3 linked regions of the Oreochromis niloticus genome follow. The protein of the gene in region 1 binds, or shares a complex with, the protein of each later gene. Links are inferred from orthologs where the notes say so. Each region holds a gene or a part of one and is shown on either strand. Other genes may lie near its edges.

Region 1 (7,873 bases):
GGGGGCGGAGCTCTGAACGAGCCTGCGGGGTGGGGGAGGGGAGGGGCGTGGCTTTCCCTGCTTATGGCAGTCGTTTTATTTATCCCCTGCCTGATAACAGTAATAATAACAATAATAACATTAACTACACCTCGGAGCTGCTCCTGCCATTCACCTCGAGCTAGCTCCCAAACCTCGTCTCCCTCTCACTCGTCATTTTTAATCATTTCCACCCGGTCCTCTTCAGACGCTCATTTGTATGTCGAGTCGTATGTAAACCCTCCATCCTCCCTTCCACGTTGCCAGATCTTTTATCGTTTATCTGTTAAATATGAAATTACTGAAGCTAAAGATATATACTATATTAAAAAAAAAATTTGATTCAAAAAACAAACAAAAAAAAAACTGTGTGAATGAAGACCACCTTTGAAGATTTATTTTGTGTCGGACAATTTTTCCTGTCCCTTATTTTTGTCGTCTTTTCTTTTCTACTTGTGATTTTTTTTCTTCTCTTTTTTGTGTATTATTGGGGTGGGACGGGTGGGGCTAGACTGAGGGTTTAGGCGGGGGTCTCAGGGTCCAATCATATCGTTTTATTTGATTGCGAATTGTCTGTTTTTAAGCTTTTTTTCTTATTACGCTCTTATGTCGCTACGGGTCACCCTGTAGTTTTTCTTTCTTTGTTTTTTAAAACATGACTGGAGGGTGACCACCGCCACCCCCTCACCCAAACACCTGTCACTCAAACCCACAGTGAAACCATCTCATTCGCTGCTCTTCTTTCTCACCTGCTCTAGCGACGCCAGTGTTGAAGTAATGAAAAGTATTTTTATTTGGTCCTTCACTTAAACAAGAATACTGTAGTAGAAGCATGGCAGGCTTTTGGATCATCACGAGGGTATACTGTATATTTAGATGTTTATACAGAAAAGATTTTTCTATCTTTCGTTTATTTCCTCTCCTCTAATATCATTGCAGTATAATGTTCTAATGATGCGTGTAATAAATATACTCGAACTCTCGTTTTAAATACTGTGAGAAAATATTTACAGAAATACCAAACACGCAGCCACCCTGGTACTTAAGGGAGCAGCTCACCTCAAAAATCAAATGTAGTTTGTTTGTTTGTTTGTTTTCTTTCAAATGTAGGTTGTAGCTTTGTTTGGATCTGCCTTCTCTTGAACGTCATGGAACTAAAAAGCATTACCTTCTCTTCTGGTTCTTGGCGCATTAAAAAAATCGATTTGAAACTAGGTAGCAGTGTCACTTTCGCAAAATTATGCTCCGGCTATTCAAGATAAAGGAACAAAACCCCACCCAAATATTGTGAGCAGCTTCATGTAGGAACTGTTTCCTTCCTGCTGAATTAAAACCACCCTCTCACTCATAACGCTCATTCTTGTGACCGGGTGTGAACACTAATGGGTGTCCCCCTGTCCCCTGAGCTGTTTGTTTGGCAGATGTAGATAGAAGAAATAAAATAGTTCCTACATGAAACCACCAACAACAAGATGAGATTTTTACCCACACCCTGCTGGGTGGGCGGTGTAGACACCCAGGTTTGTGAATGCGAGAGAATGAAACGATGTATGATTTTTAACTTGATACCATAGTTGCATCTACTAGGAGGCCAACAGTATTTCTGAGTTACAGCTTTAAGCGAAACCCCACTTCCATTATATTTAAGAGAAGGCAGACGCCTCTACAGCATACATCTCTGTCTGTGCAGTGTACATTGTGGATAAAATAACACTAAATGCCAGGAAAATCTATTTAATAAATGACTGTGAGGTGAGCTGTCCCATTAAGCAGATTTCTTCTGTCAGGTCCTCAGTAAAATACATGGTGCTGTTAAGAATTACTGTATTTGCCATAATCAGATGACACAACTCTTTGGTACTCACAGATGAGTTGAGCTTACAAATGAAAGACGGCACGCACACGACATCTCTGACGTGCACTAGCCTTTCAGGTCCATTTCCGCCTTTTCTCCCACCCGGAAGGCGCTTTCTTTCTTTGTCTGTCTTTCTTACGGCTGTAATGAGCTGCACGGTCGCCATCCTCTGCAGCTCGTCCCCAGCTGAGCTGACATTTGAAATTAGAAAAGCCCTGACAGTGATTTCACCTGAAGTGTACCCCGCCGCCACACCGGCTCTGGCTCTGCACCTGAACCGATCACAATCTCTTCTGACGTGCTGCGAGACGCCGCCAGCTCTGCTTTCACACACTAGGCTCAAACGCACACAGAGTGGCTCATTACCCAAGTCTGAAAGTTTACTGTATCGTACAAGATATGAAAGGTAACATTAAAAGTTTTATTTTTTGAAAAGGTGGAAGTGGCACAAAAAAAACTTTGTTTACCAGTTGAATAAGTTAGTCTGCTCTCTAAAAGTCCAAGTATGCTTTTGCAGGTCAGTTTAATCAAGTAGTTCAGCATTTTATTTTGAAGGGTTCCTGAGAGGGCTCGTACAACCTATTTGACAAGGTTTCATGCATCTATTGAAATTTTGGTCAAATAAATAAATAAAACTCTGTTCCTTTTTTGTTTTAGGCAAAAATAAGAACAATATGGGAACCCTTTAGTCAAACTTCTATACTGAGTCCCTTTCATCCGTCTCTTCATGTTGTTGACTGCTTGTCTGTAGTACTTAAACCTTTTGTCTTAAGTCTCTTTTTTCTTCCTTTTGTGCGCGCGTGTGAACGAGCGAGATGACGACGACGGTGCACATCTAAAAGTCTCTCTGTATTTGTAAGCATCCTTTCTGTTTTGTAGGCCATAGTTGCTTTGTTACCAGCTGCCTCAGGATCCTAGCCTGTGCGTTAGGGGTGGAGAAACCGTTTTGTTTTTCCGTCAGCGCTCTGCTGACCGGGTAGGCGGGGGAAGACACCAGCATCATAGATGTATATACATACTATATGCAGATATGACAACCTTTAAAAGTATAGGAAGGTAAAAGAAGAATCGACACCTGTATTTATTGTTGTAAATCCTCATACTGTTCAAACTGACAAAAATTCAACATGTTTTAAGTTGTCTAATAAAGAAAAGATAAACCCTATGTTTAAATATTGCAAGTGATAATGTTAGATGATAAGCAATAATGACAAAATTCTGTAATCTGAATGAATAAAAAAAAATGGGGAAAAAAGTTATTCCTTTGTGTGCTGCTTTATTTCTGCTACTTTTAATACACAGTCACCCAGTGTGTTCACATATAGAGAGTTTTTTTTTTTAATGTCACAGCCTGTGTTGTGTCATTGTGGATTGGTTTCTAGTTGTATTTATGTGCCGTGGAAGAAGACACGTGCAGCTGTTGAGGTCTGTCATAGCCACAGTGAGCTCATCTGAGCCAGCAGCAATCAGACGGGGACATCTCTGACATCAGCCGAGCCGAGCTGGCTCTGAGCCTCTATTTATTCTAGAAACATTAGTCAAGTTTATGTGAGCAGATTACTTTAAATAGAATCATATTGTATGTGTGTTACACTATAATCTATTTACATTCTATTTCAGCTTGTTTCTTTTGAAGCATTTAAAATGAGGTTTGGTTTGGGTGCTACAACAGTAATGTATAAGCTTAGTTTCTTATATGAAGTGTCACTGTGACAAATCTGTAGTGCTTAAGGTGGAGGGAGAGGGTGGCCTGAAGTGGGCACGGTGGTGGAGCCAGACTGACACCATTAATTTCACAGGGGTGGCTCTGAAACTGACTGCTGCTTCTTACTACACTGCATTCATGCTAGTGTAATACACAATGAGGACTCATTATTAACATTTATTTAACCAACCATTTCCCAACCAAAGAATAGACATTTTTATATTCTATATAAAGCCAGTAGTTGCCAACTGGTCTCTAGGTTTGTTGACTGGAGCCTTATTCACATAACCCTACAACGAACAACTTAATGTTACATCTGTCATGTGACTACAAATCCTGAATAGATCCGCCACTGTTGTCTGCCATCTTTTACATACAGTCTATAGTCAGGCCTTTTGAAGCTGCCTTGACCCACCTTTAAGAGAAATGAACCCTGATGATACCATTGGGATAGTTTTTGGACCAAACCTGTACTTTAGTCTGGAATTTATAACAGAAAATAGGAAACCTTGTCCTTGTGAACACTGTCTGTAGGTACTTTGCAGTTTGTCATAAGTCTGCTACCATGAAACTAAACAGTTAATGTTTTTGATAAATCCAATTTGCCTTCCTAAGAAATCGTCCATCAACTGGAATCACATACCATTATGAAAGTGAGTCTACTTGAGTTACATTTAGACAAGTTACCGCTGCTCCTCTGCCTTGCTCGAGAGTTCCTCACATCACTGTGTTTTTGTAGACCAGCTCCTTTGTTGGGTCTGCTGATTTTACACTTGGCCTGCGATGGATTTAACCACCAGTAAATTACTATTTAACCTTGAACTCTCTCACCTCCCCCATGGCCCCAGCCATGTGGCTCAAGCCTGCTCTGAACTGTTCACTCCAATCATGTCATCTTAAGTGGTTTTTCCACAGTCAGGGGGCTGTGTGTGTTTCAGTCTGCAGGACAATCCCCTCACAGCCGCATATCAATAATTCACAGGGGAAAGTGACAGGAGGTGAAATGATAAATGAAGATGCACACATATGAAGTGATCTTCGACAGTGACATCACAGCTGACGGCAGACTGTGTGGCAACTCAGCAAAGGGTCGCCCAGGGATGCAGCAGTTATTTTTATAAGATGAAGGTGCTTCTAATACTTTGAGCCATTCAACCTCCACTTTAATACACTGACATCGTTTTGGCTCCATGTGGTCAGCTGATGCGCCTCTCTTTAACTCCGCCCTCTCGGAGCGAGCAGGGACAGCGAATCAAACATATCGGGGGGGGGGGGGGGGGGTAGTCTCAACAGCAGCAGGAGGAGGAGGAGGAGATCCTCAACTTCGCTCTCCGGAGTCGGTCCCCCCCTCCTGACGCGGTGCAGTCTTGAGCTGTCCACCGGACCGGTATGCACTATCCGCGGATGAGGAGGAAGTGAGCCGAGCCGACCGTGAAAGATGCAGACGGAGGACATGGAGGTACCTATCATTAATAACCTTAACGATAACGGCGACAGACAGAGGCCGAAAGGGAAAGATGTGTTCAAGGATCAGCAGAAGGAGTCAGAGGTAAATCCAAGTACAGCACAGCGGGCTCCCACAGCTCCTGGTACAGGAGCGCACTGGACGGCTGTGTGTGCGTACGTGTGTGTGAATGTGTGTGTCGTTGCTGGGAAGCTTTCAGATCAGCTGAATGTCCTTTCCATGCAGCGAGTCGCCGTCTTGGCTCGAGAGCATGCCTGCATGCATGCGGGCAGACGGCGAGGTGTTATTTTGGCAGCGGCTCCTATAAATAACCCAGCAGTAATCCTACAGCGGTGCTCAGCGTGGGGGACTGCAGGTGGTGAAATGTGACTGCTGCTCCCAGGACCACCGAACGTAACTGCATATCATATTTATGTCCTCGTGGTGTCCTTTTGGCATCTGGAGTGCATCCTCCATTTAATCAATCAGAGAATCGGATCAGTTTTTGGCAGTCCGCCTGCCCCTCAGATGAGCCTTTATTGGTTTTATTTGGTATCTTTGTGAGAGGAGGGATTTGGTTTAGTACGCTTTCTTGGGAACTGAAATAAAAGTGGCTACCAGAAAATAAAATATGTGCAAATTTAAAATCTTTGAGGTTTGAACTACAGTATGAATGATATACTGGTGGCACAATAATAAGTTGATACTGGCCTGTCACAAATATAGAGTTGTTTGGGATATATATGAATGCTTGGGAAGGTTCAGAGACCTAATCTGGATGCTACAATCCCACTAAATGTACAGTTGTTTCCAGTCCCGTGCATATCACCAGCAGGTGCCCTCCTCTGCCTTCTAGCTATCTCTGGAGGCTGTTATCATTTACATCATTTTTTTTTTTTTTACATCTATTGTAAAAAAATATTTTAAAAAGAGATTCATGAATGATGAAAATATGTAGTCAGCTTAAACGTTGTGAGTTAGAAAGTTTCAATTTGTAATGGGTTTTATATAAATAAGATTGTATTTTAACTCAAACTGCATCAAGAAATGATCTCCCTAGACTATTAGACTATAATTGCCTTCTGAGTTATTGCTACAAGTCAGGGTGGATCAATGTTTTGATGTCATTTGCAGCAAATATCAACCCTGTTGCAATAGAAATCGAGACTCATCCAACCAGGCAATGTTTTTTTTTTTCAATCTTCTGCCTGATTTTAGGGAGCTTGTGCAAATTGTACCCTCAGTTTCCTGTTCTTAACCGAAAGGAGTGGGACCCATTGTGCTCTTCTGCTGCTTCAGCAGCAAAGATGCTGATCCCAGTAGAAATCCCAGTTGATTATCACCTTTCTTCACTATTCTGATACTCAGTTTGAACTTCCGCAGGCCGACTTGAATGTATTGACTTGTTGCCACGTAATTGGATGATTAGTTATTTGCATAAACAAGCTGTTGAACAGGTATCCTTGAAGTAGCTAGCAAGTGTATATAAATAGAATATTGACTAATATGTTGATATTAGAGCCTTTTTACTGTCTAAAAATTTGTACCTGCAAATCCAGTATGAGTTTGTGTTTGAACTGCTGGGTGTATATTGGAATCAGCCAATAAATCAATTTTTTTACATCATTGCAGTATCCTTTTTTTGATAAAAAGACTGAGGCGGTCCCATAGGTCTGGGGTATAAGCATATTTTCTGTGGTTTAAAGAGTGTTTAGAGCCACTGTAGACTGCTTATGGGAGTCACCTTCTGTAATATGGACCTGTAAGCTGTAATCTCCTCCGCTATTTCTAAACATGACGCTGGCGAGGCTTGTTGTTAAGGCTCCCTCAGTGCTCGGCAGCTATAATTCATCCTCCTCATGAAAAAATTACTAGCTGATGGGCTTCATTGGTGGGGTTACTCGGTCCAGATACATAAGAGATGTTACTCAGAGTGCGTTGAAGCCGAAACCATTCAGAGTGCTTTGAAAGAGGACGCTGAATGTTTTTGGGGGGAATTAGAGCATATTCATCTTACAGTCGTTGGATTGTGGGATAGGGGGTTGGGGGTGAGTGAATGAGGTTCCCTGGCCTCTACAGTTGAACCAGGAACCTCAAACCTGACTCCGTCGTGTACGTGAACTGTTTGTCTTTTTTGCTGGCTGGAGTGGTCATGTCCATGTTGGCATATGTTGGTAGGAGAGGGGGCGTTCAGCCTTGACACTGCGCCCAGTGTTTGCACGCTGATGCGGTGTAGAGCGTGCAAACACAGGAGCCGTGCCAGTTCAGTTTGGAGCCGGGGCGATTTTGGTTATCAGCTGGCGGCAAAGAGAAGAGGAGTGAACGAGAGTGAACAGGGGGGAAAATGAAGGAGTGGAAGAGAGAGACTGGGTAATTGTAAGGAGAAATGGAAGAGTAGCAGCAGACGAGGAAGAGAGAGGAGAGGCATGAGAATTAAAGAGAAACAGAAAGAGACATGTCATTTCGGTTTGGGCAGAGGAGTTAACTTCAGTTTCAGGGATGCCAATGGAGGACTGAGGGACTAAGAGACTCAGTAATATCATCTATTTAAGTAATTTATCAAGGCTAATTAAGCCTAAGTGAAAGTGTTAAAGGCCTTGAAAACAAGTCGCCTCAATCACTTTTACTTTCAGGAGTGGGCTCTTGCATGATCACACAATTTTCAGTGTAAGCTAAACAGTTTGGGTTGTTTTTCTTGAATTTTTGTATATTCTTCTGCATAAAGGTAATCTAGGAAATTTTTGCAGGTTCATACATGTCTTAATTTAGCAATTTTAAAATGAACTGACAGTTTTAAGGCTGTTTGGTTACACTTAATGTTGTAAACAATTATTTTATTGACTAAGAAAAC
Region 2 (7,080 bases), on another chromosome or scaffold:
GTGTTAATTTGGTGTGTTGCGCCATCTAGTGGCAACTGCTATTTACAAAATACATGAAACTGTTATTCTTTTATTGTAGAAGTACTTGAAATGATTTGACACCCTAATACATTAGATACAGGAAAAACTACAGAAATCATGTGGCAACCAGGGGAACTGAGTAGTATACTGAATTAAATTTCCTTTTCATAGTATTTATTAATATGTAATTATTTATTTGAATTCTAAGGCCTGGTAGAGCAATCGTCCATAACAGCATGAATGACACAGGTGTGCTTCTCATTTCATTAGATGGAAGTCTGCTCAGCTGCAGTTACCAGCTGGCTCTACCACAAACTAACATTCACTCATAAACTGAGACGTGCAAAACAAGGCAACAGAGTTCAAAAATCAGAAAATACCTGTTAGGCTAAAGCCACTTACTTAACACACACAAGTCTGTATAATACCTTAAATCCTGCTTAAGATAAAATACATTTTAATTTTAAAAAATCGTTTTTTTCAATTATCTACCTTTTTTTTTTTAAATTACAGCAGTAGTAGTTCAATGTTTCTGTACAACACATACACACCACAGCCTTATGTCAGTACACTAGTGTATGGATTTAAACTTTTCAAGTGTGTCTTTCAAACAAAACGCTACCGCTCAGGCAAATAAATAACGTGTGTTCAACATTAGACTTTACATCCGAACCACAGGAAGAACAATCTAAGCATGCAATACACCGTCTTCTGATACACATGTGGTGAAGGTAACAGTAAATGCAGTCGTTTTGGCACCGTATTAAACCTTTTTTCACACATGAACTCCAGAAAATGTTGAGACGATTAGATGTGGATGTCACACAGACACGAGGTGCTCGACCATTTACGGTCAGATAAGACTGTGTCGGACATTTGTGCTCTCACGTGAATCTCAGTTTGGTAATGTCTCAAAGCATTCAGGGCTGCAGTGCATGTGTGAAAATGGCTTTACTTTCCAGACAATATCTTTCACAGAAAATTATTTGAGGCAAGATTTTCTTTGTATGTAGGTAAACCTAAATGGGTCTGTAGCCCTCCGGTATGACTCATAATTTGCTTCTGTCCAGTCTCTTTTTTGCAGGGTTGGGATACTGGGGGTTCTCAATCACCCCCTCTCCAAATTTAAGTTCCAAAAAGGCTCTGTGGTTGTTAGGGCCATAGGCAGTGATGCCAGCAAAAGGCATGGGTACCAGTGGCTGCAGGAAGTGTTCTGGGAACTCCACATCTTGTTTATGTTCAGTCCACGTATCTTTGGTCATGACGCCATTACGTGGATAGAACGGCCAAAGGTCAACGTGCAGGTGGTTAGCCTCACTGTACTGGACCCTGTAGAAGTCTCCTTCCACCGCACGCTCCCACACATAGCCATTAGCATCCACCAGAGAGCCTGAGTCCAGGTTCTTTAAATGATCGCAGTTGGGTACATCCTCCAGGTAGATACCAAGGTCTACATCATAGTCCCATGGGATGATATCTTGATGGCGAACGGCGCCCAACAGAGTACCTCCCTCTAGCCAGTAGCGCACACCTGAGCTCTCCAAGATATTGATAACATACTTGGTGGTTTCCCTGAGTGCTCGCAGACAGCAGGGAGGTGTCCAGCGGTCCAGATACAGATAGTCTGGAGTGTCATCCTGCACAGTGCCAAAGCAGCGTGGTGTCTCTTTGCTGCAGCCGTACCACTGTTCCCTCCCATCAGGCAGCAGAAGACGCTTCAGACCAAAGCTCCTCATTAGATTCCCCGTGGCCTCCTTCAGTCGAGTGTCAGCCTTCCACTGGTTGTGAGCAGAGCTGAAGAGAGGCCGATGGTTTGCAGAGAAACAGGGGCCTTCCAGGAGTTTGACCTTCCAGCCTCTCAAAGAAGTCTGGATGAAGAGTGAGGAGAAGAGAGGCCGTCCAAGAGGGACAGAGAGGTTAAAAAGATCCTCGGTCCGAATGAGTACGACTGCATCTCCCTGTAAAGCTGTACATACACTCCCACTGCTCCCTGATGCAGCTGTTGAATAGATAGCTGTCCACTCTCTGAGGTTCACCCGCAAGTGGAGACACTGCACAGCAGATCGAGCCAATACGGGCGCAGCTACTAACCTCACAGGCCCTCCACCCTCTCCTTCCAACTCTCTGATTAACCTCTCAATAGCCCTTGGTTGCTCCAGCTCCACTCCATCAGGCACTAGCAGCACAAACTCTGTTTGCACATGAAACTCAGGCCTGTGAGCTTGTGGTGGTTGGTCTGGGCTGGGGGACAGCACAAGAAGCCGAGCACCCTCCGGAAGCGCCAGTGGAGGGTACGGTGATGTGTCAGCTACAGCCAGGAAGGGAAGCTCTGGCCTCTGGTGAAGGAAGGAATTAGCAACATCCCCGACATAGTTTTCAAAATGTTCAAATTCCCGAAGAAGAACAGTTACACGTGGGCCTCGACTGTGTCCCTCCACTCCAACCACTCCAGGCTCACCTCCAGCTCCTGCAAGTAACCCCCCGAGACCAGAGGCTGGTAGGGCAGCCCTTCTTGTGCCCCTGCCAAGTTCTTTCCTCTTCTCCATCATTTGCTGCTGGGCTCGGGACACATAATAGAGAATGAGGAGGTTGAGGATGATGGCGACAGTTAACAAGCCTTGACAGAAACTGATCCGCATGGCAACTAATATTTGCTTTGCAGTTTATTTCAGGAGAATAACTTAAGTTTGAATCAAGAAATCCAGTGGCTGGTCTCGGACCCCCATCAGTGTAACAGAGAGTCGCATGCAACCTGTAAATGACAGAAAAATGTTGCGTTTTGGTTCCAATACCACAGGCTTACGTGTAAATATAATGTATTGATCTGCATATGTATATCAAAATTCGCACACAGGATATTTAATTTAAACAAAGTAGTCAGTGAATGACCCAAGCCATAATCACATTCTTGTGGAATTAGGACATGACTGCCCCATGACAGGTTTTCTTTTATAAATAAAATATGTCTAGTTGCATTAGAAATGAATGAAAATAGGATAGTAGCAACTCACCTTCATCTGAATGCATCTGTTTTATTTCATATGAGACAATCGTTTGCAGGGCCATCATATCATTCAGAAGTTAACAGAGGCTTTACCAACGTTAAGCCAATTATGCCCGTTATGCTCGCTATATGTGGATTTCATGATGATCTTTTGGAGCTGGTAGCGTAGTAGCTACCGAGGTTGAATCGGCAGCGGCAAACACAGATATTAACTTGAGTTTAGCTCATATTTGTACGGCTGTGGAAGAAATAGTCTCCAATATTTTTGGAAGAAACTCACACTTAATGGTCAAAAGAATATTTCAAAAGCGCAAGGCTTAACACAATCCCAAACAAGAAACCCAGCTGCACGAATTTAGCATGAAGCTATCACGCTGTTGCCCGCAGCAACAGGACAACTTCCGGTTGGAATCCTTCAGAATAAAGCTATTCTGTCCAAATTTGGAAAAATCTATGAATTTAGCTATTTAATGAAAGGCACATATTTTACGCAATAACCGCTTCAGAGTTATCCCAGTTACCTGGCGTCTATACCTAATCTCTTACGTTTTAAAAGAAGAAAAACATATTGCTATAATATAAAATATAAGATATAACTACAAATGTTATTGCATACGTTATAAGGATATAAGCAATATAAAAAATATAAATATAAAGATGATATGAAGAAAAATTATAATTCACGTTAACTTGTTATATATTACAAATGTGTCCCCAAGGCTTTTTTATTGTTGTTTTTGGTCTATGGCTGTTTTCATTTCACAATTTATTCCCCCGCACCCACCCCCAAAAAAATCAAAGATAAAATCTCGACCGGAAATAGCATTGTTGATTATTGTAGCTAACTTTATCGTTCCCGAAACCATTCCTGCTCACAAAATGGCAGGAAATTCATTCCCCTAGCGACATATTCATTGTCTATTATAGAAAACATGGCCCTTTATTTGTCACCCGCACTGGGCATTTCACGAGGAGGAAACTGATCTGGGATCCGGGATATACAAAATAAGAGCAACAAAAAAAAAAGGAAAAAAAAGTTTACGCTTATTTTCAGGTGCATCACATTTAATAAACGCTGTCTGTTGTTACTTTATTTTGATGTTAGTTTTAAGACTGGACGTAACACTTTTTGTGAAAAGGGATTTGTTACAAAATCAACGGGGCAACGATGTTACACTGCGGTTAGATTGTGTTTTGCGCTGAAGGTTTGGAAGCGGAAGTGTATTATTTTACCAACAGAATAGTAATTTTTCTCTGTGCGTGTGAGAAAGGAAGAAAGGAGGGTAGCTTATAGTGAAGTGGAGCTGGGTTTGGAAAAGGGCACGGGGTACTTTTTTATATTTTTATTCGTCCATTCTGTCCGTTCCCATCTCATTATCCTGGCGAAAGGTTGAATAGTTAAAATGGAGGCGGACAGAACCGGCGGAGGATCTAACCCGAACTCCGGAGGCGGCGGCGGCGGCGGCAGCAGTGGAGCGGGGCGCAACCCAAACGGGCCTAAAGCAGGACCGGGCCAGGCGACATCAGCTGGTGGGACCGGGGCAATGGCAGCGGCCGCAGCAGCAGCCGCTGGGGCCGTCTCTGGACCGTTGCAGCAGTCACGGGAGCCGCAAGACGGGGAGTCGGGGATGACGCTTCCTGGGATCCTGCACTTCATCCAGTACGAGTGGGGACGCTTCCAGGCCGAGAAATACCGCTGGGAGGCTGAGAGAGACGAACTCAGGGTAAACGTATTCATCATTAAACCCGGGTTTATGTAGCTGTAACGCCAAGAAAGGGCCTGGAAGGATTTGACCGGAGCTCCTCCGGTGTCGCTTCGCGGATGTACACATGCCCTGCTATCGGTCAGTTAGAGGATGACAAAATGCTAATAAGCTAGCATTACAGTTGACCAGGATGCGTTATTACTAGACAGTAGATGATAATGTGGGAGCTGTTTGACCTCCAGTTGAAAGAAGCCACCAATACTCTTTTAAACATAAAACATTTTTGTGTTAAAAAAAAAAAAAATCTATAGATATAGATATATATATAAAGATATATAAAAATATATGCCTCCTGGGCTTCTAAGGTCGATACAGTCAATACAGATACACACCACAAGATTAGATAATAGACTTTTATGTCTTCCCGGAATAGCAAGCAAGCTATCGTGCAAATAAAAAGGTAGGCAAACAGTTTAGGTGTGGCTATCTTGTCTTTCCATATTATTTCATGCAGGTACACATGGAACTCACGCTTTCTGTCACACGTTATTTTAAGATTTTTGGCATTTTACTAGGATGTGCAAATACACGTTAGTTTGTAAGGAGACACTTATCTGATTTTTCGTACTCCACAGAGACAACTCAAGTGATCTGTGGGTGTGTTGTTGTGGTTAAAAAAATGATAACAGTGCTAACCAGCTGTGATTTCCCTTTGCAATTGCTGCATTCAAAATAATAAGTGAGTAAGCATTCCTTAACTGCCCTTACTTAAGACAATTCTCCCTAAAACAGTAGTTTGATTGCTGTAATACGTATTCATAAAATAATTTGCACAATGAGACACAATGATCAGTTTGACCTTTGAACTTAGGCACACAACACAACTAAGTCACACTGAGATGAAGTTCCTGAATGGATCATGCGTTGTGATCTGTAGTACCAATGCCTCCATACCTATGGCACACACACAAATTAGCATTTTGAGCTAGGACCAGTTACACACACACACACACACTCACACAGTCAATCAGTTGTGTGGTGTATCTGTGTCTATGTATATATGTATGGAGTAAAGTTGTATTTTCATTAACAATGATTAAAACATGAGTATTGATAAATAACAAGTGTTAGGATGAAAATTTGTAGTTGTCTATCTGCAGCCAAACTTGCGTTTGTATATTTTATCTTTACTTTGTATAGTGTGTTATTAGTGTGTGTATATAATGACCTTAAAAACAATATATCTGCCTATAGGCTAGAGAAGTGGACTATCATCCTTAAAGGTAAATGGTTTAAAGCTGTAAAATGCCCCCCCTAAAAAAAAAAAAACGAATGTGAGCTTGTGACTCTGTGCCATAGGAATTCCCATGAGCAATACCTGAGTTCCCTGAAGGTCCTAGTTATTCAGATGCCAACAGCAAAAGACAGACGTTGTACTATTCACCTCATCTGCATGCATAAAATTAAAAGGCAGAGCAATACTGGGCAAGTTTGTGCATACTCATCAGATTTTTCCAGGATTAAGAAAAGTTAGGAAAACATACAAACATATTTTAACTCTGCGTTTGGACAGTTCATCTTTTCATTTGTGGTTATCCCTCAAGTAACTACAGTGTTTTTGGTAATAAGAATGAACTCCCCTCTTGAGTTCATGAGTTTGACAAAACCACAGGAAAAAAACCCTCAAAAAACCATAAAATTTCCCTCTCCTCTGTCATTGTGCTTCTCACATTGCCCCTAACTCAAACATACATAGTTATAAATAGTGGCTTGATAAAATATGAATGAACAATAACAAACGGGCAGCGCTTGCTGCTTTTATAAAAACGAGGGATGAGTGGGAATGGAAAGCAGAAACAGCGGATTGCTGTGTCCGAGGTGCTATTAAGTGCTTGTTATGGAACTTTGTTTGCGTTTGCACATTGGCTGCACATGGTCTGGCTTCACGGGTACAATTAGCACCACGCTTGTGCTGAGAGAAAGAGAAGATAACTGGAGTGCCATGCTGAAAAACTGACCTAGCTTACATTTTAACACCCACAGGCCAAAGGCCTCTGGCTTTTGTTGCCAACTTGCTTGCAGCTCTCCTCTCACTGAGCCAGTTATTGTGCCCCCTGGTCATAACCTGAACAGTTAACATGCTGTAAATGTTTCCATAGTGTAGTTTGCTCACATGTTGCCTGCACATGGTATTTTACACACTTTATTTTCAAAGGCTTTACTGAGTCACATGCAAAATTAACTCACAATCACTTGAGATCTGTGTGACTTTGTGTGCAACCTAGTAGATCTCTTCATGTGGAGCTTAGCATGTCTCTGCGAGATCACGACACGTGTGCCGCTACTGTG
Region 3 (7,474 bases), on another chromosome or scaffold:
TTTCCGATGCATCCCCAAATCAGGATTTTATGTCTCTGCCTGCCTGACAGTGCAATACGGTCAATTGGTTAGCATTATGGTGATGCTAGGTACCTTCATCTTTACTACAAATTCTGGTGTTATTTCCGAGTGGTTATAATATAACTAGCACCCTTTTAACGCACTTAGCGATTCAATTCTTCCATAATATAAAAAATATTTATATCACCTTTAAGCTACCAGAGACCAAAGTGGCAAAGTTACTTATAGATTTAGGCCAACAATACATACTCTTGGGCCCCACTGGCTATCATCTGCTTAAAAAGATTTCCAGCCACATAAGCAAATATATAATATTGTATTTTTAAAAGTGATCTGAAACCCACCATAACTGATATTTATGCTTAAAAGAATAACTACCCAACAACTAATACATTTCCTGTCACCTAATCCACTGATCAGGTAGCTCCAGTCTTGCACAGCACTTTCCACTATGCATCATTGCTCTTACTGGCAGCAAACCTCGCTGTTTGCCTCGATGCTGCGGCAGCCGGTGCCGGGCGTCAGGTGTGTTGATGTAAGCAGCCTGTGACACCATTTGTGGCCCCGCCCACCTGGGATGCACAGAGCAGACACGGCGAGCCAGTCCCACAGGTAGACACACCTGAAAGCCGGCTGAGCAACAGGTTGGAGGCTTTTACACGCTTCTAATTCATGTTACACACCTTTTGTTTCTTACTGGCACAAGTCTGGCATACCTGCAGAGTTTCCTCCAATACGACTTCCAACGGAAAGCATGATCCCGGAGTAGATTTTAGACTAGACTAAAGGTAATGGATGTCCTATAAAAGATATCAACCAATGCTGCCGAGCAACAGATACAGAATAGGTCATTAACACATGGAGTGTTACGGGAAATCATGAAGGATAGACACACCTTTGGGTTACGCATAGCTCACATCATTGAGGAGATAAAGACAGAGGCCTATAAAATGTGTCACTATGGAAACATTACATAAACACAAAACTGATATAATCAGAAAATAAGTCAGGTTCAGGAGAATTAAGGTCAATGTAATGTGAGTCTGCGATATCAGACTGATGATAACTAAATATATGGATGTGATAAGAGGCAGATACATTTTGTTATCATAAAGTGTGCCTGGATTACAAGCAGCACATTAAGTCACAATAACTGGATTTTTTAGAAGTCTTAAGTCTTAAATACACAAGAGAGTTAAATAAACTCATTTTTAGAGCAGCAGAGTCACACTGTAATTCATCGCATGTATATATCAGACGGTATGTAAACCACAGAGTCACACTTCAGCTCGGGTTGGTAAAACAAAGTCACAACACAAGCCATCGTGACACATTACAAGACACTGTAAACTAAATATGAAGCAACAAAGCCAAAATATAAGCCACTACAGAAACACTGTAGTCACACTTTTACAGCTATAACCACCTTGAACATACAGTAAACTCAATAATGAGATAATATCGATATATATTAGTTCACATTAAGAGATGTGAACACCATGAAATAAAATCAAACTAGTTTTAGGGAACCAGAGAGACATCATGGGTACACTTTAAATTGTATAAACACGACAAATTCGCTATTTCACAAAGCTCACCTTATAAATCATCATGCACACATTATAGGTCACATTAAGAGATAAGGTCACTCTAAACTAAGTGTACAAGCTTGTATGCAAGTATTACAGTTACCCTTGAAGTCACAAAAACATCCTAAGAAGTTACTGTAAGCTTATTTTTATAGAAGCCGAGTCAGTTTATAAATCTTTCTATGAAGATTACAGTTGCATTTAAAAGATTTAAACACTCTAAAATAAGCTTAAACTCGCTATAAATGTGTATTGTAGGGGCACTTGATGCAACATAAACAGCTTCAATTCAAAATTTAGACTAAACTTAGAGCACCAAAGTCACAATATAAGCTAGTATAGAAGTATTATAGTTATACTCTTTATAGATATAAACAACCTAAGGTTACAATGAAGTCGACTTGGAGAAGTTTAGTCACATTATTAAGCAAATACCCAACTTTAAAGGGATTTAAACAGCATAAAATAAAAAGAAACTCAGTTTATGGCCTCAGAGTTCCATTATGAGTACACTTTAAATGATAAAAAAAAAAAAAAATACCACAACCTCACAATTTCAATAAGCTAAATAACTTTATAGGTCATTAAATCCACACTATAGGTCACATCAAGATATAAAGGCCCTGTAAACTAAACTTTGAGAAGTTATGATATAAGCTGCTACAGAAGTATTGGAATTACACTTACTATAGATATAAACACCCTAAGGTTGATTGAGCAAGGTATTGAGCAACTATGTAAATATAACACCCAAATGTAAGGGATTTAAACATCATAAAATAAAAGCTAGCTCAATTTAAGGAACCAAAGCCACATTTTACACAAGTGTAGCTTCATTTCACAGCCACAATCTGGAGAAGCTACATCACTTAATGAGTCAGCACATGTACATTATAGGTCGAATAATCAGGTAGAAATGCACATCATTAGTAATATGATGTGCAGTAATATGATAACACTATGTGAGATTTTCACCATAAACTCATTTTCCACAGCTAGACAAGATCTGAGAAGTCACTGTTCCCTAATGTTTTTTTACTGGGTGTGGAGACCTATGTCTGTTTATTTGAATACACAGTGCTGTATGTTAGTGTGTTTCTATGGCTCAAATACACAACAGGTAATCACTCTTACAAAGAAAGGAAACATGAAGCAGTTGCACAATCTCCCCTCCACTTCTCATAAAAACCAGCTCCAGTTTTCCCTATGAAGACGATTAAAAACCCAGAGAAGAGCAGCAACAGCAGCAGCACGTCCACCTTCCTCCTTACCTGCATACCAGGAACTTCCATGGTTACTTCGAAGTATGAACGCCCTGTTCCTCCTCCAGGTTTGTCACTTTTTATCCTCCTCCTTCTTTGACTCCTGCCTTCTTCTTTATATATATATATTTTTAAAAATCCTCGTCGAGCTTCTTCACAATACAACAAAGCTCTCGAAAGAGAAATAAGTAGACAGTTTTGACTTCGAAGTGAAAGAACTGTATCCGAGGGGAACGGCGGTTTAACTTGCAGGCGGCTGAAGTGAACAAACTACAAACACACAGTGACAGAGTGAGCACAGAAGAAGAAGTGGACGGAGAGGATGACGCGCAGGTTTCTGCCTCCTTCAAGGGAGGAGCGACGGTGTGTGAATATCAGCTTCGCATACACCTCTACTGCCACCTGCTGATCATAACTGTTCCTGTCTGTGGTTCATGCTGCCTTCAGGTGTAAGTCCAAATCTGCTTCGAATTGACAGCTGCCCACACTTACCGGCCACTTCATTAGATACCTCGGTTCAGGTCGATTTAATTTTATTTATATAGCACCGATTTAGAACAGGAGGCACTTTGAGGTCTTTAGACTGAAGGGTAAGATTTAAAAAGAAATCCCCATGATCAGATGACCCCCATTAGTAGATGCTTTGAAACAGTGGGAAGGAAAAACTCCCTTTTAACAGGAAGGAACCTCGGGCAGAACAAGACTCAGGGAGGGGCGGTCTTCTGATGCAGCTTGTTAAGGGTTAGTGGAAGAGAGCCAGAGATTCATATCAACAAATGTTTAAATATACAGTGTGTGAAAAAAGGTGCCTGAAGAAGAAACAGTGCATCGTGGGAATCCCACAGCAACACAGACCTATTGCAGAGTAACTAAGGGAATATTCAGGGTCAACTGATCCAACCCTAACTATATGGTTTATTAAAACCCTTTTATACTATATAAAACTATATAGTGTATTATTAAAATGCTAATGCTAAAACGCTAATATTTACTAAGTAAAAATATGTAACAGGAGTGCCTAACGTGGGGCTTGAATCCACAACCCTGGGATTAATACCTGGGAGTTAGCCATGCTTGGAAAGTTTTAAGTCAAATCTTAAAAGTAGAGATAGTGTCTGTCTCCTGAATCCAAACTGGAAGCTGGTTCCACAGAAGAGAGGTCTGAAAACTGAAGGCTCTCCTGCTTAAGTGTATCAATAAAGGAACAACAGAGCAAAAGAGTTATTTGTTGAGTCAAATGTTATTTAATCTCTTTTGAAGACAAAGAAAAACAAGATAAACTGGCCCTTTAAACATGAATCTCCTTTTCTCGACGGTCCTGGAAGGCGGCTTGAAGTTTCCATCTGACGTCACCCGGAAGCGGGGGACGGGGGGTGGAGCCCGGGAGAAGATGGCGTTTCTTCGCTGTAGGCGAGATCCCTGCGGCGTTATCTGCCTGATTTTAACTTACTTCAGCGTGTTTTATGCGGACTATGTGGTCATACAGTACGTGCTCATCCCCGCGTACTCGGACAGGTGGGTGTTTTGTATTTTCGCGCATTTTAAATCCGTAAAAAATCCTTCAACATGTCGCCCGCCTCTCTGCTCTGCCTTCATTCATTTGACAGCAAACAGATCAACAGTAACGGCATCCTCACGATTTCATCCTCAGCTCAGTCAAACTGAATCAAATCTCGTTTGTTCTCACTGTAATGTGGCTTTAATCGCGTTCCCGTTCACGTCTTTGGCGGTTTTTGTTACCGGGCTCGCGCTCCATCACAGGTGGCTTTCAGTTTGTTTTCGTAGCTGAGGCGTTTCATTAGCCTGCTCTGGAGCTGACGAGTCCAGCTGTCGTTCAAAATTTTGGGTAATTTAAAGTTGTTCTGCCTGTCTGAGATTAAAAATCCTCTTTAGAACCAGAATCACAGCTTTTCCTAAACCAACGAGTGTTGCTCTTTAATTCGTCCTAAATTCAAAACTCCGTTAACCAAGTCTTCATGTCAAATTCAGACGTTCCTGAGCTGAGATGGGCTCACTTCCTCAATTTTCACCCAAATATTTTAAAGGTTAGCGTCACAAAATTGTTTGTGTATGTGTTTATTTATTTTTACTCTTATTTTCAGTCAAATGTAGTGCTTTGTGCTTATTTTTGTACAGTTTTATATGAAATTGGATGTAACCAGGACTATTTAGAAGCAAAGGAGACATTTATGAGGACTAATATTTCTGCTGTAAAACGTATTTTATTAAAATTGTAAAGTTGTCAAAGTTACAGAGCAGTCATCCAGCCCCTTCAGAGAAACTTATGCTCAGTTAAGTTGTAGTTTAATGCAAAAAATATCAGCTTTTCTTTGTCTTTTGTGATCATGAACTTCATTTATAGGATATTTAAATGTACCGTGGACTCACTGAAGCTCTGATGACTTTTATCATTGTACTGCTGTAGGGTCTTTACCTTAAGCATAAAGCACCCAGAGGTGACTGCTGTAGTGAATTGGCGTTATCTAAATAAAATAAAATAAAATTCTCCTAAGAAGATTAAATGAGGAAGTGTAATAATCGCATGTCTCTTCTGTGTCTCTGACAGTGTGTGGTGTACTCTCCACGGGTCAGTGTTCAACCTCATTCTGCTGCTGCTGCTTGCCTGCCACTCCAAAGCTGTCTTCTCAGATCCTGGTCAGTAAAATCACACACACACACACACACACACACACAGTGTGTCAGATTTAGCTTTCATAAAGTTAAAGTCTTTTACACACCAAAAAGTTGATTCTGTTCATCTGGACGTAGCGTTTTCAGGGGGAAAAATGTTTCGTCACTCATCCAAGCAACTTCTTCAGTCTCAGCTGACTGAAGGTTTCCCCAATTTTATAAACAGTACATTTGCTCACCACTGAAGGAACAATGGACTCGGAGGTCAGTTCCTTGATCATTACAGTGGTCCCTCGCTATAACACGGTTCACCTTTCGCAACCTCGCTGTTTCTCGCTGTTTTTATGTTTTTTTTGTTGTTGTTTTTACAGCGCATTGTGTTCTGTGTCCTGATTGGCTGTAGACCATTGTCAGTCAATCTCTTCCGTGCCATGTCTCCTGTACAGTTCAGAATGCGTTCAGCTTGTCAAATTTACATAAATCTTCGATCGCTAGCCGTGTGACTCTGAAGTGCTGTACTGTATGTTTGTAAGTTTTCTCCCCAACAAACACAAGAATGTCGACGAAACATCGTCATCTGCAGGTGCCTTTGGTTTCATTCGATAATACTGGACTTATTTTTCTAGAAGGTTTGAACTTTGAGAGTGTTTAAACAAGAGAGAAAAGTGTGAAAATGTTCATGCCTGTCTGAGAAAAGTGTATAAAGTGTGTCGTGAGGGGTTTTACAGCCTTAAAACATCTATAATAACTGTAAAAAATAAAGTTGGCTACTTTGCGGATTTCACCTATGGCAGGTTAGTTTTAGACCGTAACTCCTGCGATAAACGAGGGACAACTGTATATACCATTTCTCATTACCATTCATCAAAGACCACTAATCAATGGCCATTCACAGGGGGGAATGTTGGGGAATGGCTGCAATCACAACATTGTAAAATGGCGAATTATGTACCCTTAGGCCCCCCTCCTCGATACAGAGATGGTCTTTCCCTTTGTCACGTAAATGGCCTCCTTGACTCCGCGCTCAAACCAGCGTTCCTCCCTGTCCAGGATGTGTACATCCTCATCATTGAAAGAGTGTCCACTGGCCTGTAGGTGTAAATAGACTGCAGAGTCCTGGCCTGACGAGGTAGCTCTTCTGTGTTGTGCCATCCACTTCACCAGAGGTTGTTTGGTTTCCCCGATGTATAAATCATGGCAATCCTCCTGGCACTTAACTGCGTACGCTATATTACTCTGTTTGTCTTTTACTATTCAGATCTCAACCAGCCAAGGTTGCACATGTCCAGGAAAACATCTAGATCAGTTTTACAATCCTGGAAATTGTGAGTGGTGCTAAAGATGTGGACAGCAAGGCAGATAAAATCCAGATTCAAATGTGGGCGCTTGTTGCAAGATGACTTCTTTAAGCTTAAGTTTTGGGGTTTTTTTTAAAAAAGGAAAGCTTTGGTTTCGCCCAGTGTTGCTTTTTAGCTTTGCACTAGAGACATTCAGGGCTGGTAGCAGTCTCCCTTTGTTTCAGGGTAATGCAGATATCGTTTTATAAACTACTAACTTTGCTCTTTGAAAGTTTTTCAGCTCTTCATCATAATTTCTTTCTCCATTCAGCTCACAAAAACATAGGGTCAACTTTTCACTGCTAGTCCATCTTTTTAAGTCAGGATTAAGCACAATAACTAAAGCCATTTGAAACAACTGATAATATCAGCACATACATGTGTTTGGCCCTTGTGCATCTATCTGTGCATCTCTACTTAGTACACAAAGTTGCCCTAGGAATCAAAGAGGTACGCTAAGGTTGACTGCAACAAAAAGAAGTCCATAATTAGAATAGAATAGCTCTTTATTGTCATTATATGTATACAGTGAAATTTTAGGTGCACCACTCGACTATTGTGGAAGAAATATAAATAAACAAAACGAGAGTAGGGAAAACGCACTCTGTCGAGGACAGAAAAAGGAAAACACACA

The links.
Region 2: strip2 (region 1) and strn4 share a complex: the UniProt entries of both Homo sapiens proteins name them as parts of the core of STRIPAK complex. The link is inferred for Oreochromis niloticus from reciprocal best matches to the Homo sapiens genes STRIP2 and STRN4.
Region 3: strip2 (region 1) and serine/threonine-protein kinase 26 share a complex: the UniProt entries of both Homo sapiens proteins name them as parts of the core of STRIPAK complex. The link is inferred for Oreochromis niloticus from reciprocal best matches to the Homo sapiens genes STRIP2 and STK26.

What each region holds. Positions count from the first base shown.
Region 1 is NC_031981.2:6,725,114-6,732,986, forward strand, and holds the start of strip2 (striatin-interacting protein 1 homolog), read left to right. Parts: upstream 1-4,857; 5' UTR 4,858-5,016; coding exon 5,017-5,127; intron 5,128-7,873. UniProt on the Homo sapiens protein: Plays a role in the regulation of cell morphology and cytoskeletal organization. Required in the control of cell shape. Calmodulin-binding scaffolding protein which is the center of the striatin-interacting phosphatase and kinase (STRIPAK) complexes.
Region 2 is NC_031979.2:21,854,558-21,861,637, reverse strand, and holds the start of strn4 (striatin-4), read left to right. Parts: upstream 1-4,080; 5' UTR 4,081-4,428; coding exon 4,429-4,749; intron 4,750-7,080. Other genes in the region: ribitol 5-phosphate transferase FKRP, read right to left, coding at 1,071-2,660. UniProt on the Homo sapiens protein: Calmodulin-binding scaffolding protein which is the center of the striatin-interacting phosphatase and kinase (STRIPAK) complexes.
Region 3 is NC_031967.2:37,422,345-37,429,818, reverse strand, and holds the start of serine/threonine-protein kinase 26, read right to left. Parts: upstream 3,188-7,474; 5' UTR 2,903-3,187; coding exon 2,882-2,902; intron 1-2,881. Other genes in the region: zgc:77880 (palmitoyltransferase ZDHHC3), read left to right, coding at 4,167-4,387, 5,439-5,527. UniProt on the Homo sapiens protein: Serine/threonine-protein kinase that acts as a mediator of cell growth. Modulates apoptosis. In association with STK24 negatively regulates Golgi reorientation in polarized cell migration upon RHO activation.